Tribolium castaneum: one gene and its partner. The protein of the gene in region 1 interacts with the protein of each later gene in a pairwise test. Links are inferred from orthologs where the notes say so. Each region holds a gene or a part of one and is shown on either strand. Other genes may lie near its edges. The genes, in order: Moe and conu.

Region 1 (16,308 bases):
GTTATTTTTGATTCTTTTACGTCGGCGGTCCCGAAATAAACGAGATTTTTGGACAAAACTGAGATATTTCAGTCGGGGATGGAAAAGTTTGTCGCACGCTGTGACAATTAAGAAAAAGACAAGACAAAGCATTGGGATTATTTCAATTTTGCCAAAATATTTACTTTTCGGCGAAATTATTATTTCGTTTACGGCAACTACGTGACAATTTTACCAACATGGCAGCATTCCAGATCACGTTTGTTCCATGTAATTTGAGGATAATAAAAGGTGGGAAAGGGATTTGCACAATGGGTTTCGCGTCTTTGAAAATATTTTTTGTATTTTTAGAGCGGAATGTGAAGAGCGACGTGAGCTATTCACAAATCGGGTCACGTGAACGGGAAAGCATGTAAACGTTTAGCGTAATCTGATATTTGCAACAAGAAATTGTATACGGTGAAGACTATCTTGGAAATGAGATTAAAGGGTTCAAGATACAGACCATAAGTGTGAATAAGTATATTCTTAAAGAAAATATATAGCCACAAAAATATTCGACGAAACCTACGGTTGATGCAGTGTTTGTTTGTGGTGCCTCCTCAGCGACGATTTATCCGTGAACGACCGATCACAATCCCTACATTTAAAGGTCTTCCCTGTATGGGTGACCAAATGCCGACTCAAACCCGAGGCATGACAAAATACTTTCGGACACAAGGAACAATAGTGTAAATTGATATCATGCGAGCCTTCCGTCATGTGCGTCCTCAGATGGATCCTCAGTGGCTCCCTCTGCGTAAAACCTTTGTTACAATGGGTGCAATTGTACGGTTTCTGTCCCGAATGTGTCATCAAATGCCGATACAGAATCTCCTTCTGGGCAAAACTCTTCTGGCATATCTCACACTGGAAGGGTCTCTCCCCCGTATGAATCCTCTCGTGACGCACCAAAGCCGACCTAGTGGGAAACCACTTCTCGCACATCCCGCAACTGAAACCTCTCTGTTGCATGTGAACCGAGGCGTGCCTTCGCAGCTGAATCCTCCGTGCGAAGGACTTGGGGCATTGGGGACACTTGAAGATTTTCAATTCGCCTTCTTCGTTGACTTCCGGCACGGTGGAGCTCATTTGGGGCGCTTCGGCCTCTTCTTCGGTCATCAGTTCCATGACTATGACTGTGCCGTTTTCTGTGGTCACCTCCACCTGAGTCAGCTTGCCCTCCGTGGGGATAATTTTCATCTGCAGCTGGCCAGACACGTCAAAACCTGGAACGATACATTTGAATTGAAAATATCGTTATAGTTATAGTTCCGCTTTTTTGAATAGTTTGCCGTAATTAAGAAAATAAAAAAAGTGTCGAATCAATAAAAATCGATCCAATATGATAGATTTTGGTGTGATCTTTACGATGAAATGAGACGTTTTCTCCAAGTTCTTTTAGTTTCCCCCAATGTGGGAAACTCCACCACAGGCTATCGTTGAATACTGACCCGGCTGGGTGGCAAGAGTGGCCTTGACCGCGTCTGCGATCGCGTCGTAGCTCGTGTCTTCCATTTCTTGGCTTGCTTCATCCACAAAAATGACTCCGTCGCCTTCATTGTCTTCAACATCCATGACTTCCCTTTTGAGGGATTTCAGGGTGCAGGCGTCTTTATTCACGACGTCGGCGTCCGCCGGTAAAGTGATACTTTCGGGATCGTCTTCAGGTTCGGGGTCTGGTTGTATGTAGGCGACTTGGGTGACCCCGACCAAGTCTTCTTCAGTGCTGGGTTCCTTAACTTCATCCTCTTGTTTCTCTTGCGATTCTTCAACTGCCGCTTCGCTCTCCCCTGATACGTTCAGGTCAGCATCGCCAATCTTAGCCTGGAGACTCTTCAAATGCTGCCTCAGTTTCATGTCTGAGTTTTCGCATTTTTTCCGAAAGTTGTACGATTTTTCCAGTTGGAATTTGCACGGGTGACAGATCTTGTTCGGTAGGCCATCGCCTTCGAAAACCTGCAGATTTTGTCAAGTGTAACGAGTAGATAACTACAGTTTTTCGATTTTCTTACCTCGAGGGCGACACAAGCCATGATCCGCAGGGTCAAAGGGATGGCTTCGTCGCTGTTGAAAATCGGCACCAATTCGTCCTCTTTTGCCATACATAATCGACATAATTCGTTTAGATCCAAGATCACGTCTTGAGCTTCTCCGGATTTCTTCCGACTGTAGGTTTTCATTTTGTTGGTAAATTATGATAAATCAGTTATCTACTTCGCGTATTGCTAGAGACGCTCACTACTTTATCTGTATTTCCAAGATGGCGGAAATAGAACAAGACTGAAATGACGTGCGCTGACAGCGGGATCGATTTTGCGCGCGCAGTTTTCATCATTACCGATACTTTTTTCACTCACAAATGAAGACAAAGCATTTTTTTCCAGTTAAAAAATAAATCTCTTGATCCCAGCTCGTAAAGTGTTGCGTTCCTCGCAAACACTTTACATTTTAAACTTTACATTTTTATCCCAAACCAGGTCAGGTGGGGTCAGTGGACGAACATTTCATAAAATCGATAAAGACAAGCTTAAAGCTGTCGTTATGCAACGAGCGTATGCGAGGAGCATTTTACGTTGCTATGAGAAGCGCGTTTTGACATAGTAAAAACACGTTGCTACCGGAAACGTATTTTAAAATAGTGTCTATAATCTAGGATTTGCAGACTTTTTCCAGAAAATTTAATTCTTTACAACTTTATTTCTTACACTTTTTTTGTATCTTCAACCGTATGGGCAGCGTTCACAAAAATATTACGTGGAAAGCAAATTGATAATTCTAAGCTTGTAGAGACTTATTATCTGTTTCAGAACTATAAAAACGCCAACGTAGATTTTTTAATATACAATTTTTTTCATGTTTCTTGTGAAAATTTTAATCGTTAGTTTTCTTATTTTGTTAAGCCCAACATTTCGACATTCTTTCCAAGTAATTTGTAATTGGTTGAATTAAATTGATTTAGGACGATTTGGTGCCAAGGCGGTATAATGCTCAAAGTGCCCCTATTTTTACTCTATCGTACTATTATTTTGAGTTCAAAAAATTCTGCGATTTTGTATCTCGTTTCGTCTCCTGACTTATAGTTCTCCGTAGGATGCCAAGTGTTTTGGCTATTTTTCTAGAACAGGATGGGATTCGGAATAAAGGAATAAAAACCACAACTGCATTAAACACTGGATTTTATTGCTATAAAATAAAAATTAAAAAAAAAATGATAAAGTGCCCTCTGTTGGGGGTGGTTCCGTCTAACGCCGATTGGTCGTAGTTGGCTTTGGGGTAGAACCCTTGGTTTTGTGGTCGTTTGGTAGATGGCAGTATATCGCGCATTTTTGGTCCTCTGGTGGCAAAGTCGGAACTAAACGATACACAATTTGCTGATTCTTGACAATTTATTTTCCGATAAGTTGTCGTGTCGTGTGTGGAAGGGTGTGTGCCCAGAAAAACCCCGCGTGTGCTACTTAATGTGGTGGCTACAAGAGTGTTAATCTTCAAAAGATATATTTCTTAGTGAGTATCTCCCCCTTTCCAGCAAGTGTCACGTTTACAAAGACGCTTCAACAGCACAGTTATTACAAACACAAGTACCGGTACTGCCTGTTCAAAGGCTGACCTGTGCTTGGTTCGGAGGCGATTTCCCCTTTGGGAGTCGTCCTCGTGGCTGGAATCGCGAAAATGGTCTAAATCGAGCTGATAATTTAATTAGGCCGTATGTTGAGTCAGGTGGCGTACCACTCGAGCGTGTAAATGGTCAACAGTTGCAAGGAAAATGGTGCTGTGTGAACTGCACTTGGGAAAAAATGACACCTAATTGACCAATCGGGTGCGCTCACGGCCGACTGTTTAATGCGATTTTCGAGCCCTATTTACACGAGGTTCATTTTTGTTGCAGGTTTTTTGGTTCGAGACAAGACTGCCAACATGCCGAAATCGGTAAGTAGAAGAGGTAATTCCGTGTTGACGCACCGCACTGTGAAAACACCTGTTGATTGGGTGTATGGTGGTGAAAGTTGCATTTCACTGTCAATAACTTTTAAATAAAATGTCGGGTAATTTGGAAAATTAGTGCCTCTAATGACTCATTATGGACATTTTACAATGGCATCGTTTAAAAGGAATTACATTGCACCATTGGTGGTTAAGTTTCAATGGGCTATTGAATTTTTTTTTGGCTTTAGGGTCGCATAAAAATTATGGTTTTATATCATTTTAACCGCTACAATAGTCTAGCGCCATTTTGCTCATTTCTGTGTACTTTGACTTTGCTCCAACTAAATATTTCCTATTATCACATACCTTGATAAGTTACGGTTGAATTAAGGCGAAATCGTAAAAGGAACAATGAGTACTATTTATCTAAGCTATTTCCCATTATCTTGATTTATTTCTATTTCAAACGAATCCATAAATTTTGTAGTTAAATAAAAAAAGTGTACCGACTGGAAACAATGAAATATTTCACTGGTATTGTCCTGCCTAGCAATTAGTGTTTTTCTGATAATCTGTATCACATTTTTACTGTTTTACATGCTAATTCAATTAGTCAAGTTTTGAAGCAAGAAATGGGACATTAAATTGACTGTAAAGTAGGCTTTAACGTCAAATTTGACTTTTCAAAACGTCACAAGTTTAAATTAAGGTTATTATCTAAAGGCCGTTTTACGTGAAATGAACCTACGGTCACATTTTTTTTTATTCGTGCGATACTATTATCAAAGAGCTATTAAATTTTTTGGTTAATTTTTGACGAAATTCTGCGAAACTTCCTATTTCAGATCAGTAGCATTTTGCAACAGCACATTTGAATTTTTTGGGGTGAAATAAAGCACAAATTGAGAGTTGTATAAGAAAAGAATTCTATGTTAATAAATTTTGAGCTAAGAAAACCTACCAGAAACTGTCAATTTGTACACCATTTCACCCCAAAAAATGCAAATGTGTCCCATTTTCGATTTAATTCGGAAAAATTGCTTTTTTTTTATAAATGCAGCAGTGCATATTAAAATGAGTAACGTCTTAAAATATCACCTTATCAATGACTGTATTTACCAACAATTCCCAAAAACTTACTCATCGTAGTAGGCAGAGCCAAACAAATGAAATGTCCACAGTCTACTTGACTTATTCTAATTCAAGGGCATCGAGATGTGGGCTGGCCTATTTAATTAGGAATACCATTTTTTGTTTTGTTTTTATTGTTATTTCATAATCGCCTTGTCTGTTACTCTTGTAGGAAACGTCAGTTTCGTAATTTTCACATGAAAAACAATAATTCACACACCAATTGTTCAAAAGACAGTCATTTGTTCCGACCTCGTCATCTTCGCCACTCACCTAAGAAAGTTTTAATTTTGTAACGACCGACGATTAAAATTTTAAGTCTCACTTAATTCAATAAAAATAAGCTATTAATTGCTCTAGATGTCATCGAGATCAGATTATTTTGATTAATTATTTGCACTCTACTTTCCCCGAAGTGACAAATAACCAAATCGAGTTGTATTGTTTACAGAGTTCTTAAGACTTAAAATAAAAATGATGGTATAACAGGTGCTGTGGAGCAGATGCCCCCCTATGTAGCTTTGCTCATGCCCACAGTTGATTCATGAATCCGAATACTACTATTGGTGCTTTCATTCAATCGACGGTTTGTCTTATTCCCTAGACCTCAACGGTCTCGGCTGTGTGTTCAAGTAATTCTACCGGTTTCAGTGTGGAGTTTACCCCACCGGAACCAAGTCCATCGCTGTGAATATTTAGTGTTTAGATTTTTGGTTTAGTGGACTGTTTTTAAGTTTCGTTCAAAATGGTGTCCAGCAAATTGGTAATACAATTATTTTTAATAACTTGTAATAAATTTATTCAAAGACTTGTGGAGTCACGGTTAAAATAAACGGTTACGAACTTATGCAACGTTTAATTATATTTTTTTGTTATTGAATGACTCACACTATAAACAAGATAACAAGAAATTAAATTATTAATTAACTAATCTTCCCATTTTTAACTCGTGATTCAATTTGAATAATTTTTCGATTTGGTGCCACTGTAATTGTCAAAGTGAAACTTGGGTGCAAAATATAGGTACCCGTCATACATAATTAACTAAAATGTAAATTCTGCTCTTGTTTCGCTGAATTTTCATACAAGGCTAGGTTTTATCTGCCTCATCTGTAAAACTGCCGTGACGATTGAACACCCTGTCTATCGTCATAAAATGTGTGACTTCTATAGTGATTTGGTAGTTTTTCGAGCCTGGAACTTTAATCGTAATTTTAATTAGAAACGATTGCTCACGTTTAATTTAGCCTTGATGATAACTGTCATAGTTACAGAGTGATACATGCAGTAGCATGTTTTTTTGACCAAATTGTGTTAATGATTTATAAATATTTACAAATTTATTGGCATTAAAATCCAAGTAAATATGATTTGGCCGGTTTAAATTCAGACATACGACCAAATGAATGTGAAAATTTGTATATTTTAGCAATTAAACGTTGATAACGCATTATCGAAATTATTTAAACGTTGACGAACGTGTGCGAAAATAACCGTCATGTCGTAATGGGATTTTATGTTACGATGATGTTTGTAATAGTTACAAATTGGAATAAAAAATTTGTGTTACCTTGTCATTATTTGCATATCGATTTGAAGGTTGAACCTTATTATTTTTTCAAACAATTGAGGAATAATATTGTTTCGTTACTTACGTCTTGATGGAAGATGCGTCTGAACTTGACTGATATTTTATGAAACGATACACAATAAATATTTTGTCACGTGATTTATTGCCAAATTATGTAACTAATGTGTAGCTAAACCTCTTATCTCGCCGTTTATATTTTTAATAACCCTTGTTTATTTTTAATCTAATTACAATATTTTTATTAAGCAAACTTGATAACTTTCCAAGACGATACAACAGTGCTTTTGTTAGGCTGGCGTTGTGAGTGCGATGAAATTTTTTAACACGGACAAAATGTACATTTTAAAGCGGCGTTATTGTCCTGATACTAAAGTACTAAATTAATTGGGGGTGTGTACAGGGTGTATAGTTAAATTTTGGTTTCAGATGAATGTCAGGGTGACCACTATGGATGCGGAACTCGAGTTCGCAATCCAGCAAACAACATCCGGAAAACAACTCTTCGATCAAGTAGTTAAAACAATCGGATTGAGAGAAGTTTGGTTTTTCGGACTACAGTACACCGATTCTAAGGGTGATCTAACATGGATCAAGCTGTACAAAAAGGTAAAAACTAGGTAGATCATCCAAATTGATTTTTTGTTTATTTACGAGTATTATTACGTAAGTTTAGTAGAACATAAGTGTTATCTGTTTTGATAGTTCAGGTATGTCGATTGTAGATAATTTGATTGTATTTTTAAATACGACCCAAATAAAAAATTGATAAAGTTTTCCATGTCGAGGATGTGTGGAGCAGCCGCCATTTGGTTGCGGTCTCTTGCGTCATTGTTAGTTGAAGATGAGTGACTCACAACCGACCATATTAAAAATCAAGTGATAAATCCATTCGGCGAATCGAATTTTGCGTTTTTACGACTTTGAGAATGCATTAGTTATTTTTAAATTGATTATGTCAGAGGCGAAATTTGCCACCTGTTGTGGGCGGCAGCCCGGCCTTAAAGGTCACGAGTCGAGTTGCATTTATTTTTCAAATTTTTAAAAATATTTCGAAAACGACATCATCAACGTGAATCATTAATTCAATAGTGGGTAAGCGCTCAGTAATTTGTTTGTTTTTTAGCGCCATTAAGTGGTAATTGTTATAATCGTTTCAAATCCCGTGGCAAAAACAAATTAAAAATTTAATAAAATCGTTTTTTGACCGCTTTTTCGTGTCAATGTCGGCAATATCATCATTCTTATAGAACAGGTATAGGTCATGGCGAGTTAAATAATGCACCACTTGTCTTCGCCATAATAGATGAAGGACGCTTGATAACGCATAAATAAAATATTTTTCCAAGTAGTGCCCCCAACCTGCTTTGTTGGTATTTTTAGACCCTCTAGAAATAAATTGGGAAAATTGTTGTTTTTCACTTTTGTCTTATTTTAATGCAGCCGGAATCTGTCATACAAAGAAGTTTCAAATGCTTTAAACAAATAAAAAACTTTCAGCCGCGTCCTTTGCTTTTAAATATAGAAGACGAAGACGATAATGAATTGGTAAGTACGAAATTCGCCCCGAAATAATTTCGAGTACCGTCTAAATTTAGTTCCGGATGTTAAGACGAGTGCAAACATCAAAAAGATCTAAAATTAATTCGCAACTTTTATATAAAAAACAAGCCAGAATCGATTTTTGTTTTTTAATGGAACGCTACTATAGACAAAACTACAATCATTAATGACCGGATATGATGGGAAAAACGGAAATACAAAAGTCCTTGTCTGGCACCGTAGCGGAAAAGCACAGCACGATTCGTTCGGACAAAATTCGGCTTTTCGAGTTTCTATTTATGTGCTCATTTATCATCTCGCTTTCACGACGATTAGAAAAATGATTTTGCATAAAATCAGGCCGTTTAACACAGAAAGGTGCGACTTGGAATGTCAAGTGAATGCGAATAATTGTTGTAACACCGCTCGACTTGCATGCATATTTTCTTCTATCAAATTTATGAATGGGATAATTAAAACGAGTCTTTGTCTAAATATCGGAAATCGATTGAGCTCGGATTTTACTTTTACAAGGCCATTGAAAGTCATCTCGGCGTATAAGTACATTCACTGTAACAGAATTCTTGAGTAGGTCAATAGCTTCGGATGGTACTTTTCTACAAGGAATTCCCTACAGGTCGGGCTTCGAAGCCTGGATTTTAATTACGATAATTGGGTAATTAGGATTGGGTACATTAAATATGAAATTAATGTAGTGTCTAGCTTGTAATACGCCACGTGATTAAATACCGTACATTGCATAAGAAAATACTTCAAATTGGAATTATACATTGCTACGTTGGCAAATTTACAAGGTAATAGTCGGCAAGGTTAGCCGAGAAATAACGATGCACAACAAATTACAGTATCTTTATTCTTACGTAACGTCTATAAAATAACAGAAATTCTTTTTTCCTAAACGTGCAAACTGTTATTTCCTGTCATTAGCTCATTTGCATATTTTCCAGGTGATGAGCCAAGATGTGAAGAAAGAAAATCCACTTCAATTCAAGTTCCGTGCCAAATTTTATCCCGAAGATGTCGCCGAAGAATTAATTCAAGACATCACTTTGCGTTTATTTTATTTACAAGTTAAAAACTCTATCTTATCTGATGAGATTTATTGTCCTCCTGAAACGTCCGTCCTTTTAGCTTCCTATGCCGTTCAAGCGAGATACGGCGATTATTGTAAGGCCGTTCATACCTCCGGATTCCTTTCAAACGACAGACTTTTACCACAAAGGTGATTATTTTACAGACAGAGTTTATTTATTAGCGCAAACACAGTCAAGGAGCTTGTAAAACTTATCTACTTTACACACACTGATAAAATAATAACACAATTTAACAGGAATGTGGCCCAAACACTTTTCCTTTTGTCGTTGTAATAACGTACTTACTCATGTAGAATGTATTTTAAAATCACTCTTCTAATTAGGTGTACTTTTAAATTGACCTTTGAAAACAATTTTCCTTTACTCAAGAGCACACCCATATCTTATCTTTTAGCAAAATTGTTTTGTAAAAATAGACAAATAATAGAAAAAACAAAATAATTTTTTTGTTAACAGAATGGTTTCGGCGGGCCATAGTAGGTATGATTTGTGTGGAATTCTGACTTTATGATGATTTGTTTGTGTTTATCACAAATCTAACCTACTAAGCACCTCTTAGAACCGGGAAAAAATTGTAAATATTGCATGAATTCGTAATGGTGTGTTTAATTTAAGTTTATTTACCCGAGCTGTGTCTTAATCACGCTTAATATAGAGGAATATTTGTGGTAAAACGTTGAAAACCGATGATTTTCAGAGTCATGGACCAGCACAAGATGTCGAAAGAGGAGTGGGAGCAGAGCATTATGACCTGGTGGAAGGAGCATCGTGGTATGTTGCGCGAAGACACCATGATGGAATACCTGAAAATAGCCCAGGACTTGGAAATGTACGGTGTGAACTACTTTGAAATTCGCAACAAAAAAGGCACCGAACTGTATTTGGGCGTGGACGCCTTGGGTCTGAACATTTACGAAAAAGACGACCGACTAACGCCCAAAATCGGCTTTCCCTGGTCGGAAATCCGCAATATTTCGTTCAACGACCGCAAATTCATTATAAAGCCAATCGATAAGAAGGCCCCCGATTTCGTATTTTTCGCGCCTCGCGTTCGAATAAACAAACGAATTTTATCTCTATGCATGGGTAATCACGAGTTGTACATGCGACGTCGGAAGCCCGACACCATAGACGTGCAGCAGATGAAAGCCCAAGCTCGTGAAGAAAAACTAGCCAAACAACAACAAAGGGAAAAACTCCAATTGGAGATTGCGGCGAGAGAACGCGCCGAGAAGAAACAACAAGAGTATGAAGATAGGATTAAAGCAATGCAAGAGGAGATGGAGCGAAGCCAAGCCAATCTCCTCGAGGCACAAGAGATGATCCGGCGCCTGGAGGAGCAACTGAAGCAGTTGCAAGCGGCCAAGGAGGAGCTGGAGAAGAGGCAGAACGAGCTGCAGGCGATGATGGAGCGTTTGGAGGAAAGCAAGAACATGGAAGCTGCCGAACGCCAAAAGTTGGAGGAGGAGATTCAAGCCAAACAGTTGGAGGTGCAGAGGATCCAAGACGAGGTGACTGCGAAGGACAATGAAACTAAGCGTCTGCAAGAGGAGGTCGAGAACGCGCGTCGCAAGGAAGAGGAGCTGAAGGCCCAGCAAATGGCCAATGCGACCAAAGGCCACCTGGAGGAGAACAACCACGATGAGGACGATGAGATGGTCAATGGGGACGTGAGCAAGGATTTGACCACGGATGAGAACATTGTGGATCCTGTGGAAGACAGACGCACTCTTGCTGAGCGCAATGAGCGACTCCATGATCAACTTCTGGTGAGTTTTACGTAAAAAAATTCCAGTTATTTCAATGGCTCTTCCAGGCTTTGAAGAAAGACCTCGCCCAGTCGCGGGACGAGACGAAGGAAACCGCCATGGACAAGATCCATCGAGAGAACGTGCGCCAGGGCAGAGATAAATACAAAACTCTGCGTGAGATACGTAAAGGTAACACTAAGCGTCGCGTGGACCAATTCGAAAATATGTAAATCACAATCAAAATCAAAATTCCATATTCAAACTTTCAATGCTCAATACGAGATCATGTTAAATTTAAGTTTTGGTTTACTTACGTCTAAGTATGATTTTTTTCCAATGTAAGATAAAAAGTGCTCATTTAAGTGGCCTTAGACTTTCAAATCTTAGTTACACTATTTTCATTCTTGTTTTGTTGCAAATTATTTTGTTAGAATTGTGATATGATATGAGAGGAGAAAAAAACAGATCTGTTAATTCACTTTCTTTACATTTAAATCACTTAAACGCATTCCACGTAATGGTAGTTTTTCTTCTAATTTTAGTGCCATTTGGTTAACGGGCTACACAAAAATAATCTTTGTTTTTTGAAATTCGAATTGATTCTAAGATCAGCTAAATTTTGTACACTTTTATTGGCCTGGTGCTTCCTTATTGTGTAAATAAAAGTTATACAATTCGTTTTTTCTACTTACTGTATTTTTATCGTGGTTAAAAAGAAGGTTTTTACAATATTTTTTCTACAATACTTAATCTTTTACCTGTTACATATCGTAACAATAAAGTAATGTACATAACATTTATTTTTTAAAGACCATGATGCCTTCTAGATAGGTTTGGATGATATTTACACTGTAGTATGTCAGATGGGTGAGGAAAAACCGTTCTTCAAATGGTTTTTTAGGAAAGAAATTAACTAATCCTTATTTAAATAAACCGCAGATATCAAACGTCTGTTTTATTATACATTTATATAATATATATTTATCTTGCGATCACTTGTATATTGTACATCCTAAAACTACGTCGCTAGTTTTTAACATTTGTATTCTTCGTAGTTTATGAGTTATGTACTACTAGTATAATTAATAAATATTATTTGGAAAACATTTTTTATTTACCTTTTCCCTATTACCTTTCCTTAGGCGGCCCCGGTTTGAAATCAGACTCCAAATTTATCATCATATTTTAATAAAAACAAACAACATTTATAAAATTTAAATAACATCACTTATTACATCAACACAATAGAATCGGATACATTTTATTTTATGTGATTTTATAGTAGATTATACATCGTAATTGACTAGGACCATTTTAATTTTATTATTGTTATTAAAATTAAGTACAGTACAATAAAAATCTGAAACGTAACATCGGTAACAACAAAAATCAACAATAACGTAATACCGTATTGCTCAAACAATTTTTCTGTTTTCTCATTTTTTTGTCCATTTGAATTATACGGTGCTATCTATAATAAAATTATTAGATGATTGCATTTTATATTTTGTGATTATAAAAATACATAAGTCCTAAAATTAGGTAAATCTTTGCTTTTAGAAATACTGAGCTATGTTTCACTAATTACTAAATTAAAGTATATCACAGTTGAAGAAAACTAAGTTTAAAATTGTACACTTTTGTATGTCGGTAAAAGTACCGCATAAAGTTGCAATACTCTTCCGTTACAAGTTCGAAAAGATTGTTAGTCGCACATAAATGCAATTCTCAATGGACCTAAGTGCGCCTTTTTTATATTTACTGGAAATAAAAACTATCTAACAAATATACAAATTCTATGGGCCATCTAAGCTATCACGGCGTTTATCAACTAAATTTACATTATAAGCAAATGCAGGCAGTTTGCCCGTTTGTCCTTTTCATTAAAATTACAATTTTAAAATCAATTTAAGAAATAATTTATTGTCAGTTTATTAACGCAGTAAAACATGAATTTTGCTGGAATTTGTGTTCATTAAAAATAATTGATGAGTGTTTTGCCGCTATTTCCATTACGATTCTATTATTCCGCACCCCAACCGAAAAAAGCGGGTGCTTTGTGGGTAAAAACAGACATTTATTCCTAATTTTGTTATACAACTTTTTAAAAATATCTAAAAGCGCACATTTCCCCCTATCTTAACATTAAGTGTCTGAAGCAGTCAGATCCATCGAGATCAGCAACAGAATTCGAAAGAACGTCACACTTATACTGAAAATGACGAAACCACAGTGATTGTTTTCCTCCGATTTTATGCCATCCTTAAGGTGCTAGGGGAAGGTGAGCACGAATGGATCACTCTGTGTGTGGGCGATCCAGGACTTCCAGTCGATAAATTAGGTGTCGGATGTCTCGTCCGGACGTGGCGTCACAACGGGTAAAGTTCATGTTGGCCCACTGAAGAGTAAGTCACGCTATTTGGGGCGCTCTCGACCACATGGGAGTTAAAATACTGAAAGAATGCAGTCGAGTCAATGGACATTGGGAGAAATGGCCAAAGGGCCCCTGACACTTTTCTTGATGAATGGGTGTCAGCGACCCGCACATAAATAAAATATGGGTGTGCTGAATTGTAAGGAATAGATAGACACATAGTTGCAAGCCTAGTTGCTCGGATTGTTGACGGCGGGAGATAAAAGAAAATATATCGCAGACGCTAAAGCCCTATCGGATTACCGCATCATCCAGGGCCGTTTTAATACGGACGAAAATAGAACGGGGGATGGTTCGTAATTTATTTACTTATTTGCTGCTCGCTAAAAACAAAATTCGATATGATTCTACGGATTTTCATGACGCGACGAGTCTCTGAAGCAATTAAGGGTACGCTGCAAACTTCGGGATTTCACCGATAAACAACATCCCCTTGCTTTTTTACCCATGTACACCTATGGCGCCACCGAGCAATTAGGCTTACGTTGGACAAAAAATTTAAGCATCCAGAAAGACGGATATTTACAAAGTCATTCAAAAAATGAAACTTTTTAACTTATTTTTTGTTGGCGGCCATAATCCGACCTGTACTCTCGCCTGAAGACAATTTAAAAATTCGTAACTAGATAACTATCAGTGCTGCCTCACAACGGCTTGCCGGGAATTCCCCCGACAATGTTATCGGAGTTATCGATTTCACTGGCCATCCAACCCATTTGGATTTCACAGTGAGCGCTAAATTATGGAATAATTTTATTAAAAGTGAAAATATTTCACTAAAAGCTCAAAACCACGTCCTGACTGACTCACTGAAAAGCTTGAAATTTTCATACTAATTAATAATAATAATAATAATAATAATAATAATAATAATAATAATAATAATTATAATTATAATTATAATAATAATAATAATTATAATTATAATAATAATAATAATAATAATAATAATAATAATAATAATAATAATAATAATAATAATTTATTTTTATATCAGTGACATATGTGCATTAAAGTGTGATACAAGTCAAAGAGTATACAAATTTGAATTACAAAAATATATTGATACCAAAGTCGTTGAAACAATATAGTTCCGCATTGACTAATTTTTGGTTTAACTATTTTTTTTTGAAACAGTGTAAATTTAGTTGTTTAATATGACTGGGAATGCTGTTATAAAATTTCAAACATTAGTAAGTACAGCTTCGCTCCAAAAACACAGTTTTGTGATAGGGATAATTAAAAATCTTATATTGTATAGTATTGTATTATTTTGTCTAGTTTAGTTGTTTTGAGTCCATGATTGAATGTCTGTAAAATTGCTCTTCAGTAAAAATATCAGTAACATTAACTGTTTAAAGTAACTGTTTAATTCTTTGTCTTTTTATTTTTTTTTTCAAAAAATTGGTCAAAAGCCGGTTCCAAAGTTTTGAATGACTTCTCTGGATGCTTGGTGAAATATCGTGAAAGTAAACGTTGGTAGATTGCTAGATGTGTGTTATCTTCGAGTGTTCCTAACAGGCACATTTAATATATTCGGGTACTGCATGCGGACTAGATTCTTGTCAACACTATTCACATCAAACTACCAGAATGTAAACACACCATTAGCTCAATTTTACACAACAGAGAGACAGATTTGTGGGGTAATAATGTGGGTGACATCGAATAATAGACGTTTTATTACAATATTTTTCTTGATGGTGGCGCGAATAAATGTTGACTCGTTGGCCTAAGACAGTAAACAAAACCAGAAACCTGAACCGCATCTGGATTTCCAACTGCACGGGCTTTGGAACAAGATTATCCAACTCCGTTTTTCATTAAGGAGAAAATTGAATGAAATAATTTCAAGTTTTGTTAGTATCGAAATGCGTTATTAACTCCTCGATGGGAAGGAAACTTTCTAATTAAATCACACTTAAAACTTTACTCTGCTCCTTTTAATTGGTTGCAAAAAAACTCATTTCTTCGCAATCTAATTTGAATACAGTTTGCAAAAACAATGAACACAACGACGACGTGTAACGGCGACAATTTTGTGCAAGAAGCAGTGTTTGAGAAAATCTGAGAAAACACTTAGTGCGAGACGTTACACATAAGCTCGCAGCAGTGGTATTGGACTGGTCGGGAGAATCTCGCGAAGAATTCCTGTTTATTATTGATGGAGCATGCATGAAATTGCCGCTAAAGATCGATCCTTGCTTCAATGCGACCAGAAATGAGAAAGTGCTATCTGCACTTATCCAGCTGAAAAATTTATCGGACGAAATTGGAAATCTTGATGGAAATCCGGGAGCACCTTGCAGCTCCTGGTTAATTATAAGTGCATTGTTACGCTCCGCATCCGCCGTCGGAGTCTCTCCAAGCGAATAAAAATATTAGCGTTCCGAAAAAATAGCCAGTCCAATACTCCGCTCGAGTTGATTGAAAGTCCACATACCTTGAGCACACACGCCTGGAGGCCTAAGGAAAGAAGGAGAATTTGGATGGATGGTCAATGTTATCTCATTTAAAAATAGAAAAGTGACGTCGATCGGGCAAAGGGTAAGTTGGGGGCGATCTCCATGGAAGGCCGAGGCGGGGCTGTGTGCTAAATGTATGTCTGCTCGCAGGAGTTATGGCGGAGCGAGTACGAAGAGTAATAGCGCTGCGATGAGAACCTCTGCAACAATTACAGTCATCAATCAGCGGCTCGCAGCGTTAAATGATTTTTAAAATTTCCATTCGGTTGTGGTTTTCCGATCGATTTGTTCTACGGAAAGAGTCGAGCATGCACTTGAGTTGTTGCAGTTCGAAGGA
Region 2 (16,171 bases), on another chromosome or scaffold:
TGTTCTCTTAACTCGTGATCGTGCGCATCCACCAAAGTGGTGTCAGTTGTCTCGGTTCCGGCTATACTTACAGCGTCGTCTTCGGGCTCTGAATGATGGTCTTCCACTACAGTAGGTTTTCGTTTCACCTAACGTAAATTGTCTTCAGTATTGACTCTTGTGTTTTAAGTAAATTTTGTTAATATGGTTAGTTAGATGAATATCAAGCGGTGCGAGTGCGGGGTAAAATAATTGTTAAGGTACAAAAACACGATGATTTGACCAGTCCTGGGTGCTTCTTGATGGATGAGCTGGCATGCGTCTTACCAATCCTATTCGTGCGGTTCCCCAAAACTATGAAATTTAAAATAAAGGGTGTAACAAGCCCCAAATACTACAAAGCTCTAATTACTTGAATAGGAGTGCAAGGGTTAACACAACACAACATTTAATTACTTGGATGAGAAATTGTACATCGTGATTTGTTGGTTCCTCTGATATTGTTTTGACTTCTTTTATTTGGATTCGTTTGTGTTTTTCCTCCGCTGCTTCCTTGATTTGCTGTAATTTCCTAGCGCGTGCTGCTAAACTATCGTTTTTACTAAATACTGACTTTTCGGGTTTAATGGAGAAACTATCAGAAACTGTAACATGGTTTGTTGATCGGTGGTTTCTCGTGTTGGATTAATTACCAGTTCTTTGTCCCGTATCGATCGGTTTTTGTTTTCTCTTTGGTAATTTTATGCTAACTGTTGTGACAGCTTGAGTATCGTCTTCCAATTTTGCTAAATCTGGAGTGGACGTCCAAGATGATGGATTGCTATAATTACTTTCACTTTTTACAGAATTATTGTCACGGTCAGACGCTAAGTTGCTGCTAGATACCCAGCTACGTCTTCTCTCACTATCTGCATCCCTAAATCGAATAACAAAATCAACTGAATTACTCTCTGAATCAACTCGGACCGAGATAATTATTAAACTGATGAAGATATTGTCTAGGTAACCCATTGCTAAGGTTACGCTCGGCTAGAGGCTGCACAAAAAGTGAAAAAAACACCTCCTTTTAATCGATAAATTCAAAAATAGAAAAACCCCCACTTTTGTTTTTTGATTGAATTGTTGATCTGCCATGAAATCTGCTCGTGCAGTTGGGTATAAAAAAGATAATTGAGTTTGAATTAATTTGGCACCGTGTAGTAATTTGACTTTTGTCAAAATTGACACCGCTGAAGGATGCCAAGCACGTGAATGATGTGAAAAAGCAAATCTTGTACCTTGAACTCCAAGACAGACTAGGTGTCGACGCCGTGGTGTCGTCTCTTCGGAGGGACGGTTCTTCGTCCCTTCGCTTCCCCCCATGTTCCTTATAGTCTCTAAAATGATTGTGTTTGTGTCGGAAAACGAAACTAGATTATGTACCTGAAGCACCGTTTACACCTAGTGGGCCACCTGACTTGGGGGTGGAACCCTAGGGGACACAAGGGGTCTCCCTTGGCAAGGGGGTACATGTGATGCATGATTGGGCGAATTCAGCGCTAGAGACAAAAATTGGTGAAAGGGTTTCACAATTTACAACTGCAACATCTTAGGTCGTGAGTTCCGTCTATATATAGCTACAGCACATTTGTATTTGCTGCAAGACCCTGACTCGATTTACCAAATTCACGAATGGGGAATAACAGCACTTACTGTGTATTTGTTACTCAAAAACTGGGATTAGGAGAAAATGGAGATGCGCTGGACCATCGGGCCCAGAAAACGTGCATCAATTACGTAATCACTTCACTGGAAAGTTCGCACGACGGCACTACTCCCACATTACCGAAAAAATCGGACAATTTGGCGATAATTCGCACGGGGTCACTTTCATATGAACATATACACACGTTGAAGCTGTGCGAGAGAAGACGGTCAGCGTCGCAACCAGATTCCGTGCTCACCTAATTTCGGGATGTTCGCCAAACAATTTATAAATCTTATAAGCAACACTCATTCCTGAAAGCGTATGCGATCCAGTGTTTGACGCCAGTCGCTTTCAAAACAATCACTTTTTCTTTACGCACTTTAGATTTTTCTCTTCATCTCCTTGCTGAAACACCCCACCATATGGGTATTTAATTTTAGAAGGAAAGTTGTTTGAAAATTTGGCAACCACGACACTTTTCTTGATTTTTCGGAAAAATGCTAAATTTGAACAGGAAAACACATGGCGGAAAGGTGAGTGGCCCTGAGGAAATTATCACATACAATTGTTGCGGAAAATCGCAACCGGTTCGCACACTGCTTTATTTAGGAATTTGTCGTCTTGTTTTGTTCTATATTTTACTAATTGTACTGGAATTAGCCGAACTAAATTGGACTACCGAAAATAGCATGCCAGGCTACAGCTAATTTTTCAAGCGTTTTTCTCGAGCGCTCTCCAATTCACGACGAACAGGCTCCGATGCAGTTTTATCTAAAAATTCAACATACAGGCCGGCCTAATGCGCCCCCACAACTATTGGACCAGTTACGTGAACTTCGAATATTTTATGTCTTTTTTCATAATTAAAACAGGAGGGAACAACAAAAGGTAAAATAACACACAAATTAATTCAACAGGTAATTTATTGGTTTGTTCGATTGTTTGCTTACATATTATGTTACATAAGTAAGTCTCCAACTGCACTTTTATCAAAAAAACTAAATTTTTAGTCGGAATCGTCCAGTCATTACATAGTCATAAAATATGAGGGACTTAAATCGAAGTTGCTAACACGTTACAATAAATTGCAATAATTAAATTCAATTCTTTTGGACACGTTTACTATGAGATTCGCAAAACATTCATAACCAAAATAAGTTAATTAATAAGTTGTTGATTGGTTATTATTATAATAATAGTTTTTTTTGCTGCGCTGTGCGGAGACAAAGCTAATTCATCCACCTGGCACGTGGTCGGATTAGAGTGGTTTAACTGTAAAAGCGGTGTACTTTTTATTTGAAATCTTTGACTCAAATATATTGTATTAGAGGTTTGAAAAAAGAGTTGAGGCATTTCTGATGGTTTGTGGCTTGGATTTTATGCCAGCCTGTATAGTACACCTCCCGCTGCGTATTTTTTCTCCGGATGTGTTGAAATAGAAATTGTGTAAATCGTCGAAGGCAGGAACGTATTGATGTGGGCTAGTATCGGGGCTAAATTGGTATTGCAATAAAAAACAAAGACGCAAAAAAACGTGAACGAATAACGGATTGAATAAGTTTTTTGGATAGCTAGATTCATTGCCAGCGGAGTGCAAAGTTATTTTCGGTTGTAATTTATTTAAAATTGTGACTTTGTTTGTTTTGCCGTATTCTTGGTTGCCTGCATTACCGAACATTTATTTTTTCCATTAGGTGTTCTTTTACTATTAATGATAAAACCGTTAAACATAACCCGGATTTTTATTTAACGCAAAAAACCAATTTGTAATCCATTTCAATTCAATTCAAGAAATGAGTGCACTTCTACAGAAAAAACGTGAAGTGACATAACTGGCGATAGCTAAATGCATAAATAACTTCCGAGGATCTTTAATAATTATTTTTCTTCCCTTGCTTTAAATTTATCAGGCCAGAAAATGCAAATGCGCTGTTGTCTTTTTCAAGTTATATTACTTTTTTATGGGTGTGGGTAATAATAATAAAACACTGGTTAAAATTAAAAATTAAAATTTATTTTGGCACAGAGAATTGTAAACCAAGTATTAAATATATTACTAGATATTAAGGGGTTGATAAGGTACGTTATTGAGGAATATGTTATACAATTCGATTCTTGGGTCTAGATAAACAAGTCCTTTTTGATCCTCGGCGAGTTGATAGGGCCAGGCTCGTACTGAGTGCTGCTCCTGACCAACTTTGTTTTACCGCACGGCTGAAAACAGAAATAATGAAAACCAAGCGTAATAATGCCACTGAAAAGTGCAAAAAAGCGGCCGGTGAGACAGTATCAGGGGGTTAGAGGCACACAGACACAGTTATTTGGGAAAACGGCATTAATGAAAAACCATCACCTCTATTTCCCATACCAAACCCACATAATATGATGTCAATAATACAACATACAATTCTTTTGTCTCTATCTCTACTATTGTCCTTTTTGTCTTGCGCTCTTTTTTGTGCTTCCTTCGCTTGCCGAGCCAGGTAGCTCGGAATTAGCCACAATTTCAATCCTGCACGTAACATGGTCTCCATAATGACGCAACAAACCGCAGCGCCGTTTATATGTTTGGCCAACTCTTCCTGCGACAGTTGCTTCATAATCAGTTTACTGTTATTATCTCTGAAAAAAGCGTTTCGCCAGGTGTCCAATTACGCCAAATTTGACTCACTTCGGAAGCAGCAGCCTTGCAGGAAAAAACGACGGGGCTGTAATCATCGCGACGTTGTGTAAATTCATCCTGTTCTGCTTTTCATGCTTGACCACGTTCAAAAGAAATTGCAGAAGCAATTTGTAGGTGTTGCGGTGCTCGATCGGCAGGAGGAGTACGAGAAGGTTTAAAGCTTTCAACTTGTCCTCGCTGTTCGGAATCACTGGAACCGGGACTTAGGGCACGAAACGCAAAACCGCGACTTACTGCTCGTTTTGTAGAACATATCGAACAGCTCCATGGTGAACACGGGGTCGGGCAAGTCCCGGAGGAGCTTTTTCAAAACCCCGGTCAGTTCGTGCACCGTTGCTTGCGCCAGGAGCGTCTCCACCTCCAGCCTGCTTGTGAAAAATTTCGACTCGATCTCGTTGCACAAAAACTCGAGCTTCTGCTTCTGGCCGGCCAGTCTCAAAATCCCGTCCTCGCACACGCAGCGAGTGTTCAGTTGGTTGACGACGCTTTGGAATATCTTAGGCACCATTAGGTTATCAGTCGGTCGCTGCATGTCGCGCATTACCAGAGTCGACAAATTAACGCCGAAGACGTTCCCACCTGGAAAATACAGTCAAACAAAACGAAAAAAACAAATTGGAAAATTGCCTTTGTACTTAGTACTGGCCTTCCGTTTCAGAAAAACTATCTTGTATTGGTCGAATATAGCGACTAACTCTACGTAAAGTAGGGGCTTTAAGTACTGGTATTCGCTGTCGGTGAATTCGTCGATGTCGATGCCTTGGTCGCACAAACCGAAGCTTTCGGACGTCAGTTGATTGACTTTGTTTTGCCTCATCAACCCCTCGAAGCTCAGGATTTCGTTCTCGTCGCCGTTTATGTACACTTTGCTGCAGTTGTTCTGGCTGCGGGAGAATTCGTTGTGGAGGTTGAGCGGTTTGCATTCGTAACTGTTCCGGTTTTTGAGGGGCTGGAGGTGCACTTCTGTTGTGGGGTCGCTCCCGCTCCGCTCTCTTTGGGGTCGCGGGAGGGTCGAGTACTCGTTCAGCGGCTGGTAACCTTTCAAGATAACGTTTTCAGATCCAAGATGGGCCACATCTCCCTTATCACGGCTCAATTTTTTGTTCTGGAGCGGTTCACTGGACGTCCATTTAACTTTTGCTTTAAATACTGGTTGACTAGATTCAAGTGGGCTAGAAAGGAGCGAGTTACACTTAGAAAAAAAATCGTGGGTTGGGTACAAAGGAGGTAAAGACGACTGCTGGTCTTCGTCCGAAGTTAGGTCATCGTTTAGGATTCCGACCGAGTCGAGTGAATCTGGTGTAGCACTTCTAGACCTGGTACCGGTACTCGATGTCTGAAACGGTGAAATATCAGCGCTAATTCGTTTACTCTGTTGGTTTTACTTCAACATTCCACGCTACGTCTCGAATGTCTTGCCGTTGTTTCCGCCTTGGCTGTCTGCTGTGCAGTGTTTTGTTTAAAGTCCGGATTCTAGACCTAACAGTTTCGGCTTGTCTCTCAGTCAAATGTTTCTGCCTGACGGAATCGCTAACTACATTTTCTGTTATTTCTTTTCCCTGGTTGTACAACTTCGTCAAGTCGGATAAACCGACCTTTTGCAGAAAGTCAGCAGCTTGTTCGGCTTCTAAAACGCGGAAAATTATTACGTGTAATGCCAAAACGGTCCGAGGTTCCACCATTGGGGACTTGCTCTTCCTCGATTTCTATCTCATTGTTAGTGTCTTTAACTTCGTTAATGTAGTAGTTGAGCGCTTCTTCTGATTCCATAACTAGGACACTTATATGTTCTTCATGATTGCAATTCTTTCTTTACACATCTGGAAGCATAATTAACAAGGCTACAAAGGAATGTCCACACAATTGATGCGAACAGAGTTTCTACAGGATCGTGATCAGCAATACTAATCTTACTATTACAATGCGGATAGTCTGTTTACACGACACTACCTGGAGGTAATCAGGCAATTAATTAACTATCGCAGATTGACTAAGCGCGACTAAATATGTAAGTAAGACTAATCATCCCGCTATGGCTTGATTGAGGAAAAAACAAAACAATTCAAGTTGCAAAACAAATCCACTCGACGATAACATTCGTGTGTTCGGTTTCGCTTTTCCCGCATTGTGCTCAAATTTATGTGGCTAGGTCAATTTGTAAACATTAACAGTGAAAATTATGAACGGTGAAGGCCACCGAAGTTATCTAATCGTATAAATGAACTACTTAGCTACTTTCTACATTTCCTCCGATCCGTAAATTGGAACGAAGTGTTTCTTTGGTATTTTTCAACAAACTATAATTTCCATCCTACGACTCTACCAGTGTTATTGTACCCGATGACGTCATATTCATCTCAAACTTGCGAATTCAACAGCCTTGATAGACAATCAAATCGAGAAAAAAATTAGAAAGCTGCTTTGTCTCGACTCAAATAATCGAACGGAAATTGGAAAATAGACCGCGGCTCGACCGCACCGTACTTATTTGGAAGGCATTTAACTCATTTTACTTTCGGTGCATTAATTGGACCAGTTTTCGACCGCTGATTAGCATCAATATTCATAAGCCATTACTCAAATTTGAAAATTTTTGCAACTTAAAACGAATCGTAAATTACTTCTCGCTAATCAGTTTATCTGAATTCTTGAGAGCTGATCTTGATTTTTTGATTTCTAGTTGTGTAACACTTATAAATATTAAAGTGCAAGTGTAACATTGACCGTTACATTCACTGGTTACTGTTTCGGCTACAGTTAAAAAGGCATTGTGCGCTGGAAAAATGTTTACATTCTCCCCATTTTCGATTTCTCCAGATTTGACTATAATTAGCAAAAAATGTAATCACAGCAGGACAAAAAATCTTATTACCCAGAATCATTGGAGCGCGAATCAGGATAAAGAATCGGATTCGAAAGCGATGAAAAGATTAGAAAGATAATAAAATAAATCACGTTAAAGAGCTTGGAATGAATTATTATTACTGATAAGTGTGCATGTGCGTAATCTTAGATAAGGATGAGGGGCAGATTAACACAATAAAACGAAAGTGATTTAGAAAATGCATTAATTAGTTTAAAATCTCGTTTTTTCACTTTCTTGCCTCCTAAGGCAGAACAATTCGAATTAAATGTACGATATCTGACATAATCTCTTGTTCCACTTTTGGAAAAAGATTCAATCTGGATTATCGTATCAATTTCATGCTTGGATGCCCAAGTCGGTGTTTTTAGTTTGTAAATAAAACTGTAATAATTACAGACGTCTTCGGCTACTGGAACGGCTTCAAATCCGAAAATTAAACAAATCAAGAATGTTTTCGTGGTTGCTTATTATAACCTTGAAGACCTGAACAAAGTAAACTACCTACATACTATTATAATCTAATCTTTTTAAAAACATTTCGTACAATAAATAAGATAAAGAAAGGGTGCCGAAGACGAATGGGCTAAAATTCCGGGTTGGTGAAGTTTCTGGGTTAAACGGAATCATCTGTGTAAACAAAGTCGACAATTTAATCAAAAGTTGAGCAAACTTGATTATGATTGTTATTGACGTGGGAGTCATAAATGGGGTTTTGGGTCACAGAAGACTTACCACGAGATGGTCCCTTGAGGCTTCGATTCAAAATGTGACTTATAACAATATAATAAAATGAGCAATGTATACACACTAAACACTAACGAAACTCCTTATCTTATTTATTGACTTTGCCAAACGCCAGCAAACATCACAAGGGACGGTCGTAAAAATCCAACAAATAACAATTAAAAAATTAAACACCTTCAACCACTTCCTATTCTAAAATAATATCGGACATGAAACAGTACGAACTCACTCCCCACTAAAAATAAAAACAACACGCACAAAAACATGTAAAAATACTCGACTTAAGTAGTGCTAGCGCCGCCTGTTGGCTTAGTTCAGGCGCATTGCTAGTTGCATACCGTAACCTTAGGCCCACTCCAATGTCAAGTCTACCTAAATTTAAACCCAGCGTCAATTTGAACATTTATTATATACAGTTACAATAATACTGGACACATTACGACTTGGCTAAAATCTGCGCTCTCAGCTCGATGCACATCTCCTGCTCCTCGATGATCTGGCGGACCAAGTTGATCTTCTTGATTTGCAAAATTTGGTTCTCCTTGAGGAACAGGTCCATGACTTCGTCCAGGTCCTCGTTGGGCACCATCGCCACGGGCGGCACCTCCCCCGTGATCTGCGAGCGCAGCACGGCGATCTGGCCGCGCTCCGCCTGGATGTCCTTCAGGAGCGAGTCTCTGAGCAGCAGCAGCCCCTCGTTCTTGAACTTCAGCAGCGCGACGCTGCCGTCCAGCTCCGACTCCTCCTCGCTGGCCGCCTCCTCGGGCTGCGCCTCGGGCTCGGGGGCTTCCACCTTCTCGACCGCTTCCTTGTCGCGGTTCGCCGTTTTCAGCTTGCGCTTCAGCTGCGTGATGATCCTCTGCACCTCCCAGAGGAGCTCCTCGCGCTGCTTCGAGATGCAGCAGACGTTCATCTCCTTGTGGATCTGGGTGAGGAGCGACTCCTGCTTCTTGAGCTCCGTCTCGATCTCGGGGGGCTCCTCGGGGAGCTTGGCCCCGGACTCGAGAGGGGGCACGTAGCGCGCGATTGTGATTGTGGGGAAGAGCGCGAGGCAGTGGTGGAGCAGGGCGTGGAGGAGGCGCGAGGAGCAGTGGAAGGTGTGGTTGAGGGCTGTGGAAATGGCTTGTTTGTTCATTTTGTTGCATTTTTCCTGCGAAACGCGCTATACTATGGGGGCTGGGGTGTTAAGGCACTCACATTCAGAGAAACGTTGTGTAAATGGGTGATGAGCCAGCCGAGGAGCGTTTTGTTGTGGGGAGGTAAAAGGTCCACTAAAATTTTTAAGTGTTTTTCGCGAGTGTTGAGATTAAGGATGGCTCCGGCTTCCTCGAAACGTATTAAAAGGTCGTTTGTAAAAAGTGGTTCTGGTAAATCTCTGCAAAGAGTTTTTGCCCATCATGTTACACCTAAGAAAAGGTTACCTTAAATAGGTTTTTACTAAACTTGTGACGGTTGGAGGGTCGTAGTCATTTAAATTGATATTGCCCCTCTGATTGTACATTTTACGTATTTGGAGAACTTTTGATTTTGTTCCGCTGATTTTGTATATGCCTTCGAACGACATACCTACGGTTTCTACATAGTCTATACATTCCCGAATGGGTAAAGGAATGTCTACACCGTCATGGCACCGGCTCCTCTCAACAGCCACGTCTAAACTAGCCCCGAAAATCGGTAAAATATCTGGAACGAACAATTCATTCCAATTTTATTGTCATTATGTAAGAGTTCTCACCGCCGATGTCAGCGGTCTCGTCAATTGACTGTTTGAGTTTCTTCGTTTTCTCACTCTTGACTTTCTCCTTGTCCTGCTTCTTGTCATTCTTCTTATCCCGGTCTTTCTTCTTGTCGAGATCTTTCTCTTTTTCGCGGGATTTGTCCCGTTTTTCTTTGGCTTTGGTGGAGAATTTGAACGGTTTGGCTTTTTTTGTTTTCGACGGGCTTCTGAAACATCCCAGTGAGGGTTTGAGTGATTGCAGGTGTGATTACCTCGACTTGAAATTTTCATCAGCTGAACTTTCGCCTTCTAAAGCGGCATAACCTTTGTCTTTATCCTTCTTCTCTTTGCGTTTTCCGATGAGAATGTCCTTTTTCAAGACTTTCTCATTTTCGTCACTATCTAGAAACGAGTTTTAATCGGGAATTAGTGGTTCACTTAATTTATTATTACAGTCGCTGTCGTTATTGCACTGCTTATTTAATTCGGATGCGTACAAGCCTGGGAAATCCTTCATTACGTCGGGGCTATCAAAATCCATATTGACACGGTTGGGTTTGAACTTTTAATAAATAATTATGACACTATTTTCCCAAGGGAATTTGTTGCTAAGCATGTTAAGCTGGGATAAAACAGAAACAACACAAATCAAGTCATCTGAGTGGTGTAATATGACAGGTGCTTGCCCTGCCATCTCTTGAAGGAACTGGTGTTGAGGGCCGCCTTAACCGGGAGATTCGAAATAAAAGACGAGCTAGTTTTGTAATTTTTTTTAATTTTTTTTACGTGTTACAGGAAGACAAATCTTTGACCACACTTCCACAACACACTTTACAAACTAACTTAACTATGTAATAAATTGCAAGGAGTTGAGCAAAAAAAACGTTTAATTATCACAAGATTTATGTGTTTTTTCGTCTCGCCTGCAATCAATTGTCGATTGCACGTGGTTGGTTGCAGGCGAGACGGAAAAGCAGATTTTCAACTATCTTAAAATGATGAATTAGTACTCTAAATACAATATTACGAAAACACATACAAAAGAACTCCTTGCCTGTCCTATGATTTACATTTTCATAAACATACCAAAGGGAAGGTCATTATAAAAATATATCAAGAGTAGTTGACACCTAAAACTGTTAACAATATAAAACAAATGGGATTTAGTCGTATTAATAAAAACAGAGTTTCAAGTAACAACACCTTTGTCTAGTCTTGCCCCTAAACCAGTTGTCAAGGGGTCCTAACACAACTTATAAATATCCTCAAGCTAGATCAAACGAGAGGAGTGAAAGAAAATCCGGCAACGTAACAAAGTAAAAAGTAGTCCCTACTACGGGAGAAGTGAATGAAAATCCGGCAACGTAACAAAGTAAAAAGTAGTCCCTACTACGGGCGGAGTGAAAGAAAATCCGGCAACGTAACAAAGTAAAAAGTAGTCCCTACTACGGGAGGAGTGAAAGAAAATCCGGCAATGTAACAACGTAAAGAGTAGTCCCTACTTTAGATCGAGGCTACGCGCAAAAAAAAAACAATAATATAATAACAAAAGAAACGGTGGTTGTGTCATTAAATGGTATTAGAACAACGAGTTGGCGAGTGGCGTTTATCTATAGTCTTGAAACAACATTACAACTAAATTTTTTTGGGGAAATGCATACCTTAAGTAAATAAGTAAAATTTACCATCGTATGATTGCCATTTTCAATGAAAAGTGCAAACATTCTTAGCTCAACTAAACGTACATTGATTGTATTGTTTTCTAATGAACCAACCTTAAGAAATCTCAGCTAAGCAGTTATACGTGTAGCCCAGCTACATAATGCTTAATATATTGGTACACACTAAAGCGAAAACGAAACAGCCTATTTTTTAGATTTTATATATGAAAGTATTGTGGAGTGAGCCCATATGTATGTACAAAGTATAGCGCAGTCATTACAATACAACTGATTAATGTAACCATCAAACTCACACAAAACTTTATGACTAAATCATTCACGTTATATAATAATAGAACCGATACGGTCTCCACTGACATTTAAAAAATATTGCGTTGCATAGCTTCATCTTGTAATTACTAGAAAAATATGAAACTGTCAGTTATTTTAAGGCAATGGCACTTGCGCAAATCTACTTACACTTTTATACATCAGTTATTCATTTTTATACAAACATCAGTGCTTGATAGTTTTATAATAATTATAACTATAATTTAAAACATTATAACCTACACTTAAAATTTACAAAAGAAAAGACCGAGCAACGTACGAAAAATTACCTTGATCACTTAACTAGAACACTTGTTGGAACTTAAGCAGCGTTTGTGGAATTTTCAAATTTGCCTGTAACAAAGTTCAATTCAGGCCAAAAGTCACTCAAACCCACCCAACCTACCATCTGGCTCTTTCTGTCGCCAAGATTCACCGGTATTTCGGTTACTTTTGGTACGGCCAGATCCAAAAGACTGAGTACGAGCCCGTCCCGCGTATCTAAAACCTGTGCCAGCTGGAGCACTAGTTCCAGGCTGAGCGTGAGCAAAATCAAGCCTAGAATAAAATATACATCATATCACTCCCCACGCGCGCCCGCAACAAATACTGTTGCCCCTGGAACTCTTATAACTCCATGCACCCCAACAGTTCATATAAATAAAACGTCAAATAACAGGGAAAGTTCAAGGTTTAGCAAGAATTCCCGATTCAAATCACTTTATTTTACTGTGTCGCTTTGTTACTAGTAAATAAAAAAGAATAAAGTTTAAGAAAATTTAATGAAAAAAAAAAACAATGTTCCAATACAATATTACATACAACTATGAATTAAAAAATTAATTAAGTTTTAAAACGATCTGAAAACTGAGAATGTACACACATTTGGCGATTCTCCCATTTGATTCGTTACAGTAGTGCACCAATGAAACCTAACACCAAACTAACAGCCTAGTTCCCCTAACAACAAACAAAAAACTAAAAAATCACTCAACTAAAATAAATGCATTTCCGGAGAGCCCCTATAATCAATCAACTTTGGCTGAGGTGCTCTTCTTAAATAATAAATTAATAACAGCGCATTTATTCATAAGACAAGAGGATAAATAAGGCTTATAATCTTCGTAACGGACCGCAGACTAAACAATCTATACATTGAATGGCGAGTTAAACAGAATCGCGTCGTTCTGAACTTGACTGATTAAAAAACAACAATTTTTGGCACAACGTTGCCTCAAAAAATCAAACGATGTTAACTCAGGCTGCACTATTCATTCTATTGGCAGCGTTCTATCAATATTATTATAAGCAAATCCTTGGCAAAACCTTTCCCTATTATTAACAATATGTATCAGCATATAATATAGGATATCCCGGCGCCATTTCAGCCTGCATAGATCACTGGTGAGGTAAGTAAGCAACAATCTAATCTGGCCGAAATTACACAACATGGCTGCCCGACTCTCGACACCCAAATCAGCTTACCTATGAGCGACGTTACTTCCAGAGGAGCGTCGCCCAATAGTGCTGTCATCACGTGATGTTCCCGGTTCAGCCGAATGTGTTTCGGAAAGACTACGATTTCGGTTTTTCTGACGATATTGAGGACGTCCGCTTTGAGTATCGTTGATCGGCTGAAACAACCACCAATGAAACCGCGTTCTACTCACCTTGACTAGTTACCTCAACGACTCTGAAGTCCTCAATGCTCTTAAATTTCGATAAATACTGTTTTAGTACCGCATTCACTTGCAAGTCGCTGCTATGCTTGTAATACTTCAAGAAAGCCCAAAATTTCTCCAAGCCGTACAATTGCCCGTTCTCGTAATCTCTGATCGTCTCCTCTTGGAAATCCTCGTAGAGATGCGGCCGGAACTTAACTTCGAGACCGTACGAATAAAATCTAAACAGACACTCAAGTCCGTAGCGATAACCCTTTTCCGCGTCTTCGAGTGCAATTGTCTTGAATTCGTTGTACATCGTGCGATTGAAATTCTCGCGCAAGAAGAATGACCAGAATCGGAATAGCGTATTCATTTCATTGCTTTGACCAATACCGTAACGTTTACGTTCTGGAAAAACCACCGAAAATCACGAAACGCTTCACTTAGCAAAAAAACGTACCTTTTAAGCACTTTGCCCTGAACTTCGAATAAGCCTGTTGCGTAAAGTTGTTCTCCTTCAGGAGAGCATGCGAGGGGTGCTGGAAAGCGGGCAACGCCTGCGGCACGCTTCCACAGCTCGTTCCCAGGTGATTTTCGCTCGGGCTTGTCCCGTAACTGCTGCTAGCAGAGCTCGTACGAACGCGATGCTCCCGCACGTCCATGATCCAGCCGACGTGTTGCTCAACAGGTGGATTGCTCGAATGTTTCGTCTTGCGTTTCCTAGGCGTGTGAGGATCAGGAACTTCGTCTTTAACCACAGCATAAAACCTTGGCACGTTTCTATGACCGGGAGTCTTCGGACTCTTATTTTTACTACCGGAAGGTTTACTAACGTCGACCTGTTAAAAACGTTACAACCACGAACGAACGACACCCAACTAACTTACAACAGGGGGAGGTGGCGGCGGTACTTCAGGATTCTGTTTCTTGGGCGCCGGGGGCGCCATCTTTTTGAAATCTTCCTGACTGATCACATTAACGGTTTTGTAACTACCGAACGAGGAAAAGTCCTAACAAAAGTGGTTTGTTTTTACGGGTTAATTGACACGATTGTGTGACTTACGTTACACCATAAGTCTTCTTCATAATAGTAGAGTCCATCGTTGATGGCCTGTTCTAACTCTTGTGTTATTTTGACACGTGTTGTTTTATCACCAGTGCGGTCGTAACCTTCGTGTTTGGGTGGACGTGACGGTGTTTGCGTTACGATAAGTAATTTGCTAACGTCGTGGTCGCTCAATTCGTCTGAGTCGTCTTCGGCGCTAGAATGAATTTTTTTATTGGAACTAAATTAATTGAGCAGTCGTCTTACCCTTCATTTGAGAAGGTGTTTTGCCGTCCGCTCAGCACGCAGTGATCGATTTCTTCGTCGAAGTAGAATTCCAGTTCTTCTCGTTCGTAGCTTTTCGTCTTGGTCTCCTTCTTGCCCTTGTTTTCCTTATTTTTTCGCTTAACTTCCCGCCAACTTTCCTCGTCCGTACTTAACCCGTTATTTTCCTTACTATCGGCGCTATTGACCGTATTATTCTCACTAGTGTTTTCCTTATTGTTATCGTTGTCTTCTGTGCTATTCATGTTGATGTTGGTTTTGTTATTGTTATGTTCGGGGATAAATTCAGGCACGTCCGGATTTAAATTTTCTATTCGTAAAGTCCGCGGCAGCGGCGGAGGAGGAACTAATTGAGATGCAACTTTTTTAATATCAGTGTTACCGTCTAATAGAGGCCATTTGGTAGGTTCGTGTTTCGGGCGAACTTTGAATCCCGAAGAAAATTCGATTTTGTCTGAACTACTAACGGCATCAATGATCAAAGGTAAATTATCAGTCAGTGCTTGAACACGGTGAAACGACGCGATCAGAGTTATGGGGAGGTAGCCTTGAGGGTCCATCTTTCGCCTCAAGAAGAAGTCACGTGAAAGGTTCTCCTCGCTGAAGTAATACTCTCTGAAATAAATATAGAATAAACAGTGACCGGCGTGAATCAACCACGACTTACATTTGATTCCTAATGTACTCCTTCAGCGTCGGTTTGTCTAAATTACCGTAACTGTTACTATTGAAGTAAAAAGTGCCCATGTATGGCACAAAGTTTTGCGTGGCAAACTTGAAGAAAAAAAAATTACCAAAATAATTTTGATGGGGAGTAGTGGAGTAGGGAAATACCTGGGCATATTCCGCGGGAAAATCTATATAATCTGGATCAGTGGGCATTCTATTGGTTGGTCTATTAAACGTTGTTCTTCGTCCTCCCCTATTACGGCCTCTACCTCTAGCGGCCACTGAGGCCGGTCTGGGATATCTCCCATTTACCTGAGGACCATCTCGCAGTTCCGCCCTCCAATCCCTATCTCCATCGCTAACGGTCGATTGCGCGTCCCGATCAGCCCGTCTCCTCGGCGACTGATCCTTCTTATGCGCTTTAGTCAAGTCGATCTCCAGCGGCACCCACTTGTGCTTGGTGGACTTCTTCTTGTCGTCGTGTTCCTCATGCGACGTCTGCTGCTGGACCTTCTCCTTGGACGCCGTCGACGACTGACCAGGGGTCGGCGTAGGCGCCGCTTTCTTGGACTAAAAATAAAAAATAACAATGTGCCCCTATTTCCGACCGCGGTTACCTCCGGCGCGACGTTATCACTCAGCGTTGGCCAATCACAAATATCCGAGAAGTTGCTGGCCTAAAAGCACGAAAAACAGAAAATGTGAGATGATAATTTTGCTCGAATTTCTTGCCAACAGTGCAAAATAATGTCATCATTTTACTGACTGACCCACATGTAAAATTAGAACCTCGGCTGCAATAAGTTCTAATCAATAACAAAGCAAACACATCGTATCGCAA

The links.
Region 2: the proteins of Moe (region 1) and conu interact in binary tests that used the Drosophila melanogaster proteins (3 or more experiments, as listed by UniProt). The link is inferred for Tribolium castaneum from reciprocal best matches to the Drosophila melanogaster genes Moe and conu.

Annotation. Positions count from the first base shown.
Region 1 is NC_087397.1:5,676,734-5,693,041, reverse strand, and holds Moe (moesin/ezrin/radixin homolog 1), read left to right. Parts: upstream 1-6,914; 5' UTR 6,915-6,976; coding exon 6,977-7,039; intron 7,040-7,093; coding exon 7,094-7,273; intron 7,274-9,174; coding exon 9,175-9,449; intron 9,450-10,018; coding exon 10,019-11,090; intron 11,091-11,137; coding exon 11,138-11,302; 3' UTR 11,303-12,176; downstream 12,177-16,308. Other genes in the region: zinc finger protein 358, read right to left, coding at 547-1,247, 1,473-1,977, 2,034-2,201; Dop1R2 (dopamine receptor 2), read right to left, coding at 13,442-13,525. UniProt on the Drosophila melanogaster protein: Involved in connections of major cytoskeletal structures to the plasma membrane. Together with wgn, involved in control of axon targeting of R8 and R2-R5 photoreceptors, independent of egr.
Region 2 is NC_087403.1:3,528,441-3,544,611, forward strand, and holds conu (rho GTPase-activating protein conundrum), read right to left. Parts: upstream 8,218-16,171; 5' UTR 7,948-8,217; intron 7,942-7,947; exon of another isoform or gene 6,170-7,941; 5' UTR 6,120-6,169; coding exon 6,029-6,119; intron 5,977-6,028; coding exon 5,735-5,976; intron 5,686-5,734; coding exon 5,570-5,685; intron 5,522-5,569; coding exon 4,977-5,521; intron 4,929-4,976; coding exon 4,584-4,928; intron 4,540-4,583; coding exon 4,338-4,539; intron 4,289-4,337; coding exon 4,072-4,288; coding exon of another isoform or gene 4,020-4,071; intron 3,881-4,019; coding exon 3,788-3,880; 3' UTR 3,659-3,787; downstream 1-3,658. Other genes in the region: centromere-associated protein E, read right to left, coding at 1-128, 436-623, 672-895, 1,257-1,355, 1,402-1,499; Rlip (ralA-binding protein 1), read right to left, coding at 8,396-9,109, 9,157-9,334, 9,381-9,642, 9,695-9,903, 9,949-10,078, 10,130-10,217; larp (la-related protein 1), read right to left, coding at 11,990-12,021, 12,074-12,225, 13,153-13,301, 13,351-13,739, 13,792-14,170, 14,219-14,341, 14,395-14,593, 14,644-15,276 and 3 more. UniProt on the Drosophila melanogaster protein: GTPase-activating protein (GAP) for Rho1; functions with the ERM protein Moe to regulate Rho1 and control proliferation in the developing epithelium. Recruited by Moe to the cell cortex where it negatively regulates Rho1 activity.